Linked DNA regions of Pelodiscus sinensis. The protein of the gene in region 1 purifies or fractionates together with the protein of each later gene. This does not show direct contact. Links are inferred from orthologs where the notes say so. Each region holds a gene or a part of one and is shown in the gene's direction. Other genes may lie near its edges.

Region 1 (7,737 bases):
GTAGGATAAGGCAGAGTGCTTCGTGGGCACGAGGAGCCGGCTCTTGCTGAGAAACCTGCGTGTCTGGGTTCCATGTTGATGCAAGTTGGGGGGATGTGCATTCTGTTCCTCACTGCAGCTGCAGTGCAGAGTGTGCAGCTGAGTGTGCTGTTGGTCAGCTTCTGCCTCCCCCAGGGGCTGCACACTTGGAAGGGCAGAATTTTAGTACCAGGAGCGCTGACTCCTTTGAAGGCCCAGCTGCCACACTAGCCACTAAGAAACACTCCCAGTGAGGCCACAGCAATTCAAAGCAGTCCTATAACCACACACAGCCCTACTTCTTGCCAGCCCTCCCCCCATCTTAACTCTCTTCCCTTGAGCTAGGATTGCACTTGGACTGCATGTTCCTCAGGGCAGAGTCCATGTCTTATCAGCTGGAGCCAACAAGTAGTGCCTAAATCCAACACAATTAAAGGAACAACCTACATTTATTATTATTTTTTTTAATCCCATTTTCCTGGGGTTTTAATACAATTCTCATCTATTGCCCAGTGAAAAAGAAACATGCAGACACACTCACCTTCTGACATAACCAGCTGCCCGAGCCACCAACCCCCACTTGCTGCACACAGGAGCCATTGCCCACTCATCTGTCACGGGGCTGTCTGGGGGTGCTAAACTAACATGTAAAGAAGGTGCCTTTTCTAAGTTTGCCATGATTTTGCAGTAACAGAGGCAGGGCTGAGAGCTCACTCATCCTGTGCCTCACCCAATGCTTTCTGCCTGCGCCTCAAGGCAGGGTTGGCCTCAACACAATCCCATCAGTGGGCTGACAAAAATCAACTTCATGAATGCCAGGAGAGCCAGTCATGTGCTGCCCCAGAAGCCCTGGGTCTGTTCACATCTTGCAGCTCGTTTAAAGAGACGTGAGCAAGCCAAGTTTAGTTTGGAAGTCAAGTAGAAACCAAGCTATGGCAAATCTTCCCTTGGAAGGAGGAACGCTTCCTCCAGACCTAGCAAAATCAGGCAGGCACAGAAAACTCATGAGGGCTGTTACCTTGGGTGGCGGCGGCAGCAGCAGCAATTCTGCAGTGCATTAGCAGCAGCAGGAACCTCAAGGCATCCATCTGAACTGGAATGGGGAGCTCTGACAGCTGCTGACTAATTGCCACTTTGCTGTTGAGAAGAGCCAATCCCAGGCAGCTGTCACCTCACCTGACTTCCTGGCAATGTGTGAAATGGGAGCACTTCTAGCTTGCCTTAAGAAAGATTCTCAGCCCATGGAGGGTCCCTTGCAGCCCAATCTGGGCACCGCTGCTGCTGGAGCCGGTGGCATTCTCCAGGGAGGCTGGTTTTGTTGGTTAAGCCAGCAAAAATAAGGTACAGGGCAGGAGTGAATTCCCTACTGGGGTCTGAATATTTAGATTACCTCAAATATCTACTGGCAGGTTTTAGGTGGCCTGTTGCTCACCACCCAGCCAGACTCAGGGTGCCTAGTGCCTCACTTCCCTCCCTCACCAGCACTTTGGTTGCTGTTCTCAGAATCTGTTCTACTTTCTTGGTACCTTTCCGGGGGCAAGTGCCTGGAACAGGATGCAGAGACCAGTCCCTTACACAAAGGACATCTCACCTCTTGCTCCATCACAGGACTCTTGTGCAGGTGCCAACTGAAATCACAGGGGCCTTCTCACTACCACATCCCATTACTAAGTCCTGCCTAACTCACTGCATTCCCAGCCCAGGTCTCACATCTAGCCCTACTTCCCAGCTTCTTCCCAGCTGCCTGAAATACTTCCCCTACCCCCGTACTGATGGGCTGCATTATCCCAAGTGGCGAGAAACGAATCAGCCAGCAACCCTGCCATGCCCACCACAGTGAGTAGTGGAGGGTCACCCATCAGCTGCCTCAGCAGCATCCCCAAAAGCCCCTGCGAATGGCGTAGAGAATGTCAGCGACCGGCGGCACCGCCGTGCTACACCCCTCCGAACGTGCCCTTACGTGTCCAAGCAGCTCCTGCCTCCACCCGCCCGCGGCGGCCGCGGGAAGGGGGGGGGCGGTAGGGCCGCGGGAAGTGGGGGGGGGGCGGTAGGGCCGCGGGAAGTGGGGGGGCGGTAGGGCCGCGGGAAGTGGGGGGGGGGCGGGGCGGTAGGGCCGCGGGAAGTGGGGGGGGGCGGTAAGGCCGCGGGAAGGGGGGGGGGGCGGTAAGGCCGCGGGAAGTGGGGGGGGGCGGTAGGGCCGCGGGAAGTGGGGGGGGGCGGTAGGGCCGCGGGAAGTGGGGGGGGGCGGTAGGGCCGCGGGAAGTGGGGGGGGCGGGGCGGTAAGGCCGCGGGAAGTGGGGGGGGCGCGGGGCGGTAAGGCCGCGGGAAGTGGGGGGGGGGCGGGGCGGTAAGGCCGCGGGAAGTGGGGGGGGGCGGGGCGGTAAGGCCGCGGGAAGTGGGGGGGGGCGGTAAGGCCGCGGGAAGTGGGGGGGGGCGGTAAGGCCGCGGGAAGTGGGGGGGGGCGGTAAGGCCGCGGGAAGGGGGGGGGCGGTAGGGCCGCGGGAAGGGGGGGGCGGTAGGGCCGCGGGAAGGGGGGGGGGCGGTAGGGCCGCGGGAAGGGGGGGGGCGGTAGGGCCGCGGGAAGGGGGGGGGCGGTAAGGCCGCGGGAAGTGGGGGGGGGCGGTAAGGCCGCGGGAAGTGGGGGGGGGCGGTAAGGCCGCGGGAAGTGGGGGGGGGCGGTAAGGCCGCGGGAAGTGGGGGGGGGCGGTAAGGCCGCGGGAAGTGGGGGGGGGCGGTAAGGCCGCGGGAAGGGGGGGGGCGGTAGGGCCGCGGGAAGGGGGGGGGCGGTAGGGCCGCGGGAAGGGGGGGGGGCGGTAGGGCCGCGGGAAGGGGGGGGGGCGGTAGGGCCGCGGGAAGGGGGGGGGCGGTAGGGCCGCGGGAAGGGGGGGGGCGGTAGGGCCGCGGGAAGGGGGGGGGGCGGTAGGGCCGCGGGAAGGGGGGGGGGCGGTAGGGCCGCGGGAAGGGGGGGGGGCGGTAGGGCCGCGGGAAGGGGGGGGGGCGGTAAGGCCGCGGGAAGGGGGGGGGGCGGTAAGGCCGCGGGAAGGGGGGGGGGCGGTAAGGCCGCGGGAAGGGGGGGGGCGGTAAGGCCGCGGGAAGGGGGGGGGGCGGTAAGGCCGCGGGAAGGGGGGGGGCGGTAAGGCCGCGGGAAGGGGGGGGGGGCGGTAAGGCCGCGGGAAGGGGGGGGGGCGGTAAGGCCGCGGGAAGGGGGGGGGGCGGTAAGGCCGCGGGAAGGGGGGGGGCGGTAAGGCCGCGGGAAGGGGGGGGGCGGTAAGGCTGCGGGAAGGGGGGGGCGGTAAGGCCGCGGGAAGGGGGGGGGCGGTAAGGCCGCGGGAAGGGGGGGGGCGGTAAGGCCGCGGGAAGGGGGGGGGCGGTAAGGCCGCGGGAAGGGGGGGGCGGTAGGGCCGCGGGAAGGGGGGGGCGGTAGGGCCGCGGGAAGGGGGGGGGCGGTAGGGCCGCGGGAAGGGGGGGGGGCGGTAGGGCCGCGGGAAGGGGGGGGCCGTAGGGCCGGGGGCGGTAAGGCCGCGGGAAGGGGGGGGGGCGGTAGGGCCGCGGGAAGGGGGGGGGGCGGTAGGGCCGGGGGCGGTAAGGCCGCGGGAAGGGGGGGGGGCGGTAGGGCCGCGGGAAGGGGGGGGGCGGTAAGGCCGCGGGAAGGGGGGGGGGCGGTAAGGCCGCGGGAAGGGGGGGGGGCGGTAAGGCCGCGGGAAGGGGGGGGGGGTAAGGCCGCGGGAAGGGGGGGGGGCGGTAAGGCCGCGGGAAGGGGGGGGGGCGGTAAGGCCGCGGGAAGGGGGGGGGGCGGTAAGGCCGCGGGAAGGGGGGAGGCGGTAAGGCCGCGGGAAGGGGGGGGGGCGGTAAGGCCGCGGGAAGGGGGGGGGGCGGTAAGGCCGCGGGAAGGGGGGGGGGGCGGTAAGGCCGCGGGAAGGGGGGGGGGCGGTAAGGCCGCGGGAAGGGGGGGGGGGCGGTAAGGCCGCGGGAAGGGGGGGGGCGGTAAGGCCGCGGGAAGGGGGGGGGGCGGTAAGGCCGCGGGAAGGGGGGGGGCGGTAGGGCCGCGGGAAGGGGGGGGCGGTAGGGCCGCGGGAAGGGGGGGGCGGTAGGGCCGCGGGAAGGGGGGGGCGGTAGGGCCGCGGGAAGGGGGGGGCGGTAGGGCCGCGGGAAGGGGGGGGGCGGTAGGGCCGCGGGAAGGGGGGGGGCGGTAGGGCCGGGGGCGGTAAGGCCGCGGGAAGGGGGGGGGGCGGTAAGGCCGCGGGAAGTGGGGGGGGGCGGTAAGGCCGCGGGAAGTGGGGGGGGGCGGTAAGGCCGCGTCTGCAGCCACGTTCCTCGCAAACCGCGACTCCCCTTTTGGCGCGCGCCGCTTCCCCTGCTCCGGGAGCGAGACCCGGGCGTGGCCTGGAGCGCCCCTCGGTCTCCCGCACCCCGGAGACTGGCCGCGCCCGGGACAAACGGCTCTTGGGCCTGGGCGGCCGGAGCCTCCCACGTTCACTCGCGGCGGCGCGTCGGGGGGCCGGGCCCCGATCCCTGGGGGCTGGCGCCGGGGGACCCAGGCGAGCGGGACGCGGGGCCGAGCCCGGCTCAGTAGCTGCCCCAGCCCCGCGCACGAGGCGTTAACCCAGGAGCCTAACGACGGCACGTGCCGCAGCGCTGGGAGGAGCGTGTCTGACTGACCTCAGGGGGCGGCGCCAATAGCAAAGATGGCGTCGGCGGCGCTTCCGTCCGCGGGTCGGAGGCCACCGGAAGGAGATGGTGGCGCCGCCCCTCGCCATGCGGGAGCCGATTGGCTGGAGCGCCGCGGGCTCGCCGATTGGGCGGTTATTTGAGGCGCGACGGAGCCGAGCGTCTGTTGGAGCGTCCGCAGCCGCCGCCATGTGGAGCGGTCACGGTAGGGGGGCAGGGTGTTGGGGGAGGGGCTGGGGGGGGGCTGGCAGGGTGTTGGGGGAGGGGCTGGGGCGATGGGGGGGCTGGCAGGGTGTTGGGGGAGGGGCTGGGGGGGCTGGCAGGGTGTTGGGGGAGGGGCTGGGGGGGCTGGCAGGGTGTTGGGGGGGGCTGGGGCGATGGGGGGGATGGCAGGGTGTTGGGGGAGGGGCTGGGGGGGATGGCAGGGTGTTGGGGGAGGGGCTGGGGCGATGGGGGGGATGGCAGGGTGTTGGGGGAGGGGCTGGGGGGATGGCAGGGTGTTGGGGGAGGGGCTGGGGGGATGGCAGGGTGTTGGGGGAGGGGCTGGGGGGAGGTGGCAGGGTGTTGGGGGAGGGGCTGGGGGGGCTGGCAGGGTGTTGGGGGAGGGGCTGGGGGGGCTGGCAGGGTGTTGGGGGAGGGGCTGGGGCGATGGGGGGGATGGCAGGGTGTTGGGGGAGGGGCTGGGGGGGATGGCAGGGTGTTGGGGGAGGGGCTGGGGCGATGGGGGGGATGGCAGGGTGTTGGGGGAGGGGCTGGGGCGATGGCAGGGTGTTGGGGGAGGGGCTGGGGGGATGGCAGGGTGTTGGGGGAGGGGCTGGGGGGATGGCAGGGTGTTGGGGGAGGGGCTGGGGGGGTGGCAGGGTGTTGGGGGAGGGGCTGGGGCGATGGGGGGGGTGGCAGGGTGTTGGGGGAGGGGCTGGGGCGATGAGGCATGTGTCTCACCTTGTGAGACGCTATAGGTTGCTGAGGCCAGGTCGCTGACCCTATGGCATTGCCCCTTTCTGTGACCTGGCGTCCCCATGAGCTTAGCGTTCTGGTGCCTTCTTTGAACTTTGGTGGGGTTTGGACTTGAGTGCAGGTTAAAAATGCAGGCTGCTGGGGAGTAAGACTTACAGGTGGGGAGAATGTAAGTTTGGCTGTTTGAATTAAGTGAATATGTGAGAGTCTCAGCTTTCCCTCTACTGGATACGGCTGCTGGAAAACACCTGAGTGACCCAAAGAGCTCAGTAATATAATGTACATTTTGGGTGGTATTTACTATACTTTATTTTGTCTAATTGTAAGCTAATTGCACGACTATTTGGTATAACTTGTGATTTTTGAACACTTGGGATTGGCAACAATGTATTAGTAACTGTGATTCTTTCCCCCCTACCCTAGGTGGCTTTGACGGTGGCTATGGTGGGTCTTCAATTAGTGGTGGATACACACAGTCCCCAGGGGGGTTTGGCTCTCCAGCAGCCACCCAGGGAGAAAAGAAACAGGTATGTAGTGGAAGGGTTTTAAAGAATGGGAGAACTGGGTGCCTGGTCACACTAGGGAGGTTCCCATGAGAGTTTTGATCTTTATGTTGCTGTCATGAGAAGGATTATCTATACCTCTCCCAGCAGAGAACAAATTGTACGGTATTAGGGATAAGAGAGAAGCTTCAATATAACATTGAATTGGGAAGCAGTGATGGGAGGAGTACAGTGGCCTAGGAGCTAGGTTTTGGCCTTGGTCCTTCCCTCAATGTGTTTTATGACCTTTGGCAAGTAACTTATACTGTATTTTGACTTCCCTTCTCAGAATAGATATTTATTCACAGAATGTTGTGTCTTAATTAAATGTTGCAGTTGTAATTCATTTTATGGCTACTTAACCTGGTTACACCAAACATGGCTGAGCTCTGCATTTTTTTCCTCCGCATCAGAAGAATGTGTAAAATATTCCTTTGTCTGTCATGTTGCCTACTGTGTTTGTATCAGGGAAAATTGGGCAAACTATCCTAAATGTTCTCAGCAGGGGAATAATGGAGCATGAAGGACATGCACCTGGACGGATAGTAAGAGTGCATAGGGTAAGCTGTAAGGAAGGTGGAAGACAGGCCATCCCTGTGACACAAACTTATTCAGGCGTTTCCTTCTACATAGTGAAAAACAAAGCCAACATACCTTGTGGAGGAAAACGGCTGTGTGCCAGCCTAGGCCACTGGAAAGCATGACTGACTGTTGTGATTCTAAAGAGTACCAGTTGTGAGTGAACTCAAACCATGGTTAGAGCTGTCTCTGGGACTAACTGGTCACAGATTCAGTTACAATAATGCTGACACAGCCTCAGTGTTTGTAAATCTCTTTGAACATCTCAATCACAACATGAATCAGTAATGTGATATTGTTTCAAAAAAAAAAAAAAAAGCAAATACAATTTTAGGCTGCATTAACAGATGCATAGGAGGCAAGTCACAGGTAGTGATAGTACTGCTCTGTTTGATGCTGATTGAGCCTCAGCTGGAGTACTGTGCCCAGTTTTGGTCACCAATGTATAGAAAGGCTGCAGAAAAAAGATGATCAAAGGGATGGAATGCAAGGCTGTAGGAACTGGGTATGTTTAGTTTGGGGGGAAAAAAGAGACTGAGGGGGAACATGATACCAGACTTCAAATATTTGAAAGACTGCCATAAAAAGATGGAAAACAGTTTTCTCTTGCCACAAAAGTCAGGACAAAGGGTAGTGGGCCCAAGCTGCAGTGGAGCAGATTCAGATTAAATCACAGGAAAAACTTGGGATAGGGGTTTTCCTCTGTCGCCCCTGCTTCCTCCCAGCCCAGGAGCCGTAGCCTGGGCAGCAATCACCCTCTAGCACAGTGGTTCTCAAACTTTTTGGTCCGTGGACCACCTGGCTCAAGGCAAACCTTTCCACCGACCACCAGTTGTTAATGGAAACTCTCTGTTAACTACATCCGAGCCATTTTGCTAGTGCTGCAGCCAGGGAAAATGGTTTAATTTAAATTATTAAACAAATTAAGCATTTTAACTTTCTCATGTTAGTTTATCAAACTTTATTTTAAATA
Region 2 (7,848 bases), on another chromosome or scaffold:
CTCCTCCTGACCCCCTCCCTGGGGCGTGGGTTGATGACATCAGCCGCGGGGAAACCCCCGCCAGTGACGTCTTGGCCCCTGGCTGCCCTGGTACATTCTGGGCATGCGTGCCGAGACGCAGCCTGTACCCAGCGGCGTCCCTGGGGCCCGTCTCCTCCTGCTGCCATGACATGCAGGGGAGTGCGGGGTGCCATGTGCTTCTCCGCAGTGGAGCCCGGCACCCCATCACACTTCCCTATAAGAGACTTTTTTCTTTTTCCCTCCCTTTATTGTCAACAAAGAGCCAGTCTAGATACTGCTGTTTCTTTTGTTGTCAGAACTGGCTTTCGCCAGTATCCCACAATGCCTGCCCTGATAGCTCTGCTCAGTGTTTTGATCTCTGCTGCCTTGCATGCATGCACCTGTCCATTTTCAAAGCTCAAGGAAATGTCTGGCTGCTGAGCACACTGCTCGGTTTGGGGAACAAACAAAGAGCAAATCATTGGACTACTGTTCTGCTCTGCACTAGGAGCACACAAGTAGAGGGATAGATCGTTGCACCGCTTTGACACTCCTCAGCACAGAGAGCTCTCAGAGTTACTCATGCTGCTGTTCTTCCCAAGGTGAGTGGTGCTGGGGGCTGCCCCGTATGCCTCAGCTGAAGCCAGCCCGTGGTGAGGCTGTCCCTACTGGGGCAGCCTCACCATGACCCTGGTTCCAGACAAGGCCGGCAGGGCTGCATAGTTGGTGGCTGCCTTGTGTCTTTTCCGTTGCAGGTGGCGCGTTTGGGACCAGGGAGCGGAGCCTTCGTAGCCATGAGCATCCCAGCCTTTATCAATATTACCAAGGAGAATCAGGTTAGAGCCCCCAGGAAGCCGCACTGGGTGTCCTTGATTTCTGTCCCTCGTCCAGCAGAGCTTGGCTTCCCCCATGGGGTCTCCCCTGCCAGCTCCAGCTAGGGTTACCAGATGGCTTAAAAAAAATAGTGGACACACTGATCTCAGATGGGGTGGGGGGGACCGGCCAGGAGGGGAACGGGGCTGGCCGGGAGGAGGTCCGGGGAGAGGGGAACTGGCTGGCGGGAAGCAGGGCTGGCCAGGAGGGGGTTGGAAAGAGTGAGGCTGGCCGGGGGAGAACCGGCCAGTGGGGAGCAGGGCTGGCCGGGAGGGGAAGCGGGGGGAGAGAACTGGCTGGCGGAGAATCGACTGACCCGGGCGCTGCCCGTCCTTCCCACGGTCTCGGCGAAGCACTAGTGAGTCCGGCCCCTGGGATTCCATCCTGCCTCAGTTCCGACCACTCCCCTCCTGCGCATGTAGTTGCGTATTGCCTGGCTGGTAGACACCCTCACACAGTGTGAGCGTGTTTACTAGCCAGGCAGTATGCAACTACATATTCAGAGGGGTAGCCGTGTTAGTCTGAATCTGCAAAAGCGATGAGGAGTCCTGTGGCACCTTATAGACTAACTGAAGTGTAGGAGCATAAGCTTTCGTGGGCAAAGACCCACTTCGTCAGATGCATGTAGTGGAAATTTCTACATGCATCTGACGAAGTGGGTCTTTGCCCACGAAAGCTTATGCTCCTACACTTCAGTTAGTCTATAAGGTGCCACAGGACTCCTCATCGCAACTACATATTGATACTCATAATAATAAAACTAACTTAATTAGAAAATACCAGACATTTATGTCTGGTATTTTCTTAATTTGTTTCCCGGACAGAACCCTCAAATACTGGACTGTCCAGGTCAAAACCAGACACCTGGCATCCCTAGCTCCAGCCTGCCCTACATACCACCATACCCACTTCCCAATGACCCAGGATGCTGCAGCTGCCAGCGCCGGTTGGAGTTGTGCGTGGGGAGCTGGGCTCCCTGACAAACCAGCAGGTGTCAGGAGGCTAGTAGTGCCCAGTTGCCAGGTGGGTGCCATGAGACAGAGATGCGCATGGGCTGTGTTACCTTGTGTCTGTAGGCCCTGACTGTTAACAGCCTGGGGAGGAACTCTCAAACCACCAGTAACATGCAACCGCCCCTGTCACTTGTGCCACAGACACAGCCAATCCTGTGCATGTGTTGGGGGATGGGCTGTTGCCAGGCCTGGCAGGGGTGGGTTCTCTTTTCGGACGCAGAAGAGTCGTTCACTGCAGGAGAGCTGTGCGGAGCTCAACTCCGCAACCTTAGAGTAGCTGTAACGGAGGCAGCAGTGCTCAGCTGTCAGCTGGGAGGCACTGCAGGGCTAGGTAGGGGGGCAGGGTAGGCACTGGAGGCTCTGGGGGTGGGTCTAGTGCTGGGGAGCTCTGAGGGTGGGTGCCTCTAAGAGGTGGGGAACTGGCACTGAGGAGCCCTGGGGGAGGGGCTAGTAGTAGCGGGGCTTTGGGGGCAAGGCTGGCACTGGGGGGTTCTGGGAATAGGGCTAATATTGGGAACTGGGGGAAGCTCTGGGGGAGTTGGTTTCAGTGGGGCTCTGGAAACAGGAGGCTGGCACTGGGGGCCTGGTGGGGGTGCTCTAATGGGTGGGGGCTGGCACTGGGGGGCTCTGAGAGCAGGAGGCTGACTGGCACTGGGGAGCATTGGGTGCTGGGGTCAGTAGCTGGTGCTGGGGAGTAGTAGAGGGCTGGGGGGCTCTAGGGGTCAGGGCTGGCACTGGGGGACTTTGTAGGCCGGGGCTTTTGGTGGACCAGTAACATTTTATTTGTATATTTGCAACCATTGATGTAAGACATACCCTAAACGCCTGATCCTCACATTTTCAAGGCTCTACATCAGGCCTGCACAACATTTGGCCCACAGGGACTCACTGTGCAGCCGATGACCAGGGCCGGATTAAGGGGCAAGCTAGCCGGGCAGGTGCCTGGGGCGCCAACCTATGGAGGTGCTAAAATACCCCAGCACCCAGAGTCACTCCGCCATGCGGCGTGTGCCTGCTGCACTGCTGCATGAACGGGACTCCCAATCCCGGGTCTCCCCTGCTTGCCGCGGGGGGCAGAGAGGCTGGGAGTGCATTGGGGCTAGGTTTTAGTGTGTTTCTGGGGGCATCCAATGCCACGACTAGTAGGGTCAGGGTTAGTCTGAGCAGCTGTGGGTACAGCAAATTATTTAGGCTAATCTAAATATGGCACACACAGGAGTGGGGATACACTTTTGTTTGGGAGTGGAAGGGCTGGTCTGAACATTAGCTCTTCATATAAGTAACAAAAGGCTTTGAGAACTGGCTCAGTGGGAGCAAAGAGGAATGAAGCAGAAATTGGCTATTCTGGTGCAAACTTGCACAAGAGAGCCCTAGGGCAAAGGCTTGTCTCCAGCTCACTGGTGACTAACCTCCATAGACACTTTCTGCAAGTCTCACTGGTTACATGGTGGAACTGGGAGCATTTCAGAAAACCCTATGGCTATGTCTACACTGGTGCGTTCTCACACAAAAACTCTTTCGTGAAAGAGTTCTTCTGCAAAAATGCTTTTGCTACGTCTAGACTGGCATGATTTTCCGCAAATGCTTTTCCGCAAGAGCGTCTAGATTGGCAAGGACGCTTTTCCGCAAAAACAGCTGCACAAAAGGTCTTATTCCTGAGCGGGTGCGTCAGAGCTCTGGCGCAGGAAGCCCTGATTTCACACATTAAAACGCCAGTTTACTTGCGCAAGAACTTGCACCCAGTGTAGACAGGCAGCAAGTTTTTGCGCGAGATCGTGCCGTGTAGACACAGCCCGCCATTGAGGTCCTGGGTTTCAGTCTCTTTCCAAGCAGCTTAAATGTGGCCTCCAGGACCTTGCTGTTCCTTGCCTAGGCCGTGATGTCACACGCCATTACATAATTTGGGAAGGCTTTGAGGCCACGCTGCGGGGGGCTTTGTGCCGCCTGCTGGCTCCAGCCCCGTCACCCAGCGGGCTCCAGACTCCGCAGCTGGCCCCGAGTCCGGTAGCAAAGGAAGCCTGCGGTTCTAGGCCTTATCGCGAGCGCGTGGCCAATAACTGACAAGCTTACACAGCTGGCCAATCGCTGAGACTCTTACATCCAGCCCCTCCCCGCCCCTGTCTAGCTGATCCTTCCGGGCTGCCGTAGCGAGTGACGCCGGCTGGATACTGATGCTCTGATTGGGCGGCGCTGGCGGGAGGGCCTGAGAAGGCAGAGGTGGCGCGCGGGGTAACGGATCCTCCTGCCTCCCCGCGGGGCGCTGCGCTGCCCCGGTCGGGGCCGCCCGAGGTCGGTGCGGGCCGGAACCGAGCGCGCAGGCACGTCGGGCACCGAGCAAAGCTCCTCTCGCCGGGCCCGCGTCCCGCCGTGCCGGGGGGAGCCGCTGTAGGCGCGCCCTAGTGGGGGGCCTTGAGTCCAGCGCCCCGGGCCTGTGGGGGCGTCGGGCCGGCCTGTGTCTCTGTGGCGCGCCTCGCGTCGGAGCGGCTCCGCCGGGTCATGCAGCGGCCGGAGGCCGGGTTTGCTCCGCGCCCTGGGCGCGAGTAGAAGCGGCGCGTGTGTGCTGACCGGTGGCTTGTGGATTTCTCCCCGCGTGGCGCTTTACCTGCGCGCGGGGCTTTGTGTAGCCCAGCTGAGCGGAGCCGTGCGCCTCCCTGCCCCGCAGCCGGACTAAGGCGGCCACCCCCCTGGAACACTTTAACCTCGCGAGCCGCCTGCTCCCTCACACCTCCCCTTTTCTCCTCCTCCCCCCTCCGTTCAGGGGCTGGTGCTGGCTCCTTCCTGGAATGGATCTGCCGCATGGGTCTGCCTTAGCTGCCGCTGCCCTGTCCCACTACCAGCGATTGTGATCAACCGGGAGACCCCAGGATCAACAAGCTGATGGCACTCAACTAGTTGGTGGCCACTGGTGTATGGGTACTTGCTTACTTTCTTGACAGTTGCCCCCTTTGAATTCATCTGTGGTGTCTTGTAATCTGTAAGATCAGAGTAATAAACACATTGTTGCTTTTCTAACCGAGAGGGAATAAAATAAAATTGTAATGATGTTATCAGAATTTTTGCTGTTATAAATGTTAGCAATTTTGACAGTGCTGTAGACCAGTGATCTCCAGCCTTTTTAAGCACAAGATTACTTTTTTGAATTTAAGTGTAATCCAGGATCTATCTCAAACCCAAATACCCTTGCCCTGCCTCCTTCTCCAGGGCTCTGCCCACTTCATCTTCCCTCCCTCCATCCTTCCTCCTTTTCAACAGGTACAGGCAGAGGGTTGGGGTTCAGGCTCTGATCTTGGCTTGAGAGATTTGAAATGTTAAGTGATTTGAAGTTGCTCTGAGCTGAGCCTGGGGCACAGAGATGAGGGTGCAGCAGGTGGTTCTGGGTACAGACTCTGTAAGGGAGTTTGGGTCTAGGAGGGCTTGGGGCTAGAGCAGGGGCTTGACGTGCAAGAGGGAGTCTATGACTGGGACGGGTTCAGGATGCAAGCTCCAGTTGGACACTCACAAGTGATGCAGTGAGGCTAAGGCAGGTTCACCCCTGCCCTGGCCCTGCACCACTCTCAAAAGCAGCCAGCAAACCCCATCCCAAGTCCTGTTGTGCCCCCCCCCCCTCCATTCTGTGGAGTTAGAATACAGGGTAGGAGTGGGGGCACCCTGACATCAGTGCCCCTTCTCTGCCCTGCTCAGCAAGGGGTGGGGGAGAAACAAGGGCAAGAGGTGCGTGGCAGTGGGAGGAGGGGCAGCTGAAGTGCCAGCATCTGATAGCTTCTTGGCTAAACCAGTAAAGATCACCTGTCAGGCTCCAAGATCTACCAGTAGATCCCGATCTACTGGTTGGTGACCAGTCCTCTAGACTCTAATACAACTTCAAAAAATGTTTTCCCCTTTTTAAGTGTACTCTAACAGTTTTAGGTTTGTGTGACTTAAACAAGGAGATCCTAGAATCTGAGATCATAATGTGTGCTTCTCTTGGAAAACATGAAATACATAATTTCAAGGCATGTATTCTTATGTAGGGATGGAAAGAACACGGGCACATCTCCTTTTTTGTCCTCCTCTAGAACAGTTTTTGAAAAGGTATTTTGTAGGGATGTCACCGTGTAAACGACTATACATTTAACTGATAAGCCTGGGCTTATTGGTTAATCCTGTCAACTGCAGGCATTCTGGGGCAGGCAGGAGCCAGCTTCCCCTGAGCACTGCTCCACGGAGCTGCCTGTGCCCTTCCCCCCCCCACCCCACTGCTGCCTGTATGTGGCAGTAGGACAGGGTAGGCTGCCGCGAGCGCACTGGCTGCTGGTCCCACCCCTGGAGACTATTGAATAGTTGTTTAACTGCTGAAACTTGATGTTTTAACATGACTATTCAGTTACACGCTATCTAACATCACTAGCGTTTTGCCCTTTCAATTCATAGATCTGCTCCTCTTGGAGTCCTGTTGTTATATTTCTATGGTCTTAAATAATATTCTGTAGAATGACATTTTTCTCATGGCTGTAAAAAAACCTACAGTTGTTTCTTTCATTCTTTTCTGTTACCACGAAGCTTTGATTTAAATGATCCAAAGCCCGTTTGAAATGGATAGGAAGCTCTGGAGTTCACATGTCCTCTTTTCCAGTCAGTTAGTGAGGGAGTGCATTAGAGACTCTTGAACCCTGATCATTGTGTGCTAGCACATGTTTCTTCAGAGGTTCAATTGTTTGTATTTTGTAGAATATATTTGATTTGGAAAAAGATTCTTTGAGGATTAAAATGCTTTATTTTGTTTCACAGGTTAAATTTTTCTGCACAATGTCGATAAACTCATTATTTGCGAATAAGAAGAGAAATAGCTCCATATTATATGGTGTGGACCAGGCACAGAGTATGGCTTCATCTTCTGTTTATCGAGAATCCACTAGTCGAGGATGTATTGGGAACCATGGAGATGGCTTTCCACCAAACAAGCGTTACAAAGGTTTTGAGTCCAAGTCCAAACAAACAGAACATTATTTTGGAGACAATGATGACTTTACAGCTGATGACTTGGAAGAAATAGACATAATTGCCTCACAGGCTTTATCACAAGATCTAGATTCAAATAGCATCCAGAAACCCGAGCAGAATTCCAGACCGTTGTTATCTCCGAGTAACGCTAATCAAAAGTCTGTGAATATTGAACTATGGAGTGTTCCCTCTAGTGCTGAAAAAAGAAGGAAAGACCAGTTCGGTATGTGTATTCTGGAATAGGGGAGTATAGCTGGGGATTTGAATGGCTTAGTGCCTCCTTATGCTCCAGATCTGAGGTTTGAAATGCTAAACTTCCTAGAAAAATGTATAAAATAATTAACTTTTTTGACTAGATTATCTAAGCTCAACCCAAAAGTAAATTTCATTGTTGCTGAAATGTTCACTTAGGTTCTTGACGCTATCTTGAATTACTAGGATTATTTGAAAAAATGTTTTAATTATCAGGCAAATCTTAGCTTCTGGATAACTTAACCATCAACATTCAGAGTTGGTATGTACATCTGACAACATGTCTTAAAGAACAAGTTATAGAATTTGCCATATAGTATAACTACGTGTCATAAAATAGCATTAAGTAAGAAGTAGCCAGAAGTTGTGCTCCAAGTATATGAAAGTGATCATTTGGAAAGATCATACTTTGAAATGACAGTAATCTATCTTTTTTTACGTGTGTGGTGCCTTATCTTAAGAATGTAAACTAATTAGCAAGCTTTAACTTAGTGTCACAATGCCTTTGAATCGCATGCAGATGATTAAACTGAGGCACAATGAAGTGAAGTAGCTTGCTTGAGGACAAGCTGTGGGCAGAAATGGAATTAGAAAGCAGGAGATCTGGCTTCCCAGACATCAATTCTAACTACTAGGCTACATATGTGGTTGTGTAATATCTGTCATACTTATAAGTGACTTTTAAACTTCCCCTTAGGAGAGAAGGGAAGGTGACCTGTTCATAATATCA

What was found. Proteins that work in one complex are often made in the same cells at the same time.
Region 2: the proteins of RPA2 (region 1) and ATRIP purify together in Homo sapiens (affinity purification with western blotting; 5 studies listed by BioGRID, with this or other methods). This does not show direct contact. The link is inferred for Pelodiscus sinensis from reciprocal best matches to the Homo sapiens genes RPA2 and ATRIP.

What each region holds. Positions count from the first base shown.
Region 1 is NC_134735.1:22,902,150-22,909,886, reverse strand, and holds the start of RPA2 (replication protein A 32 kDa subunit), read left to right. Parts: upstream 1-4,735; 5' UTR 4,736-4,752; coding exon 4,753-4,891; intron 4,892-6,066; coding exon 6,067-6,170; intron 6,171-7,737. Other genes in the region: SMPDL3B (acid sphingomyelinase-like phosphodiesterase 3b), read right to left, coding at 1,037-1,106. UniProt on the Homo sapiens protein: As part of the heterotrimeric replication protein A complex (RPA/RP-A), binds and stabilizes single-stranded DNA intermediates that form during DNA replication or upon DNA stress.
Region 2 is NC_134721.1:39,614,223-39,622,070, forward strand, and holds the start of ATRIP (ATR-interacting protein), read left to right. Parts: upstream 1-4,844; 5' UTR 4,845-6,632; coding exon 6,633-7,089; intron 7,090-7,848. UniProt on the Homo sapiens protein: Required for checkpoint signaling after DNA damage. Required for ATR expression, possibly by stabilizing the protein.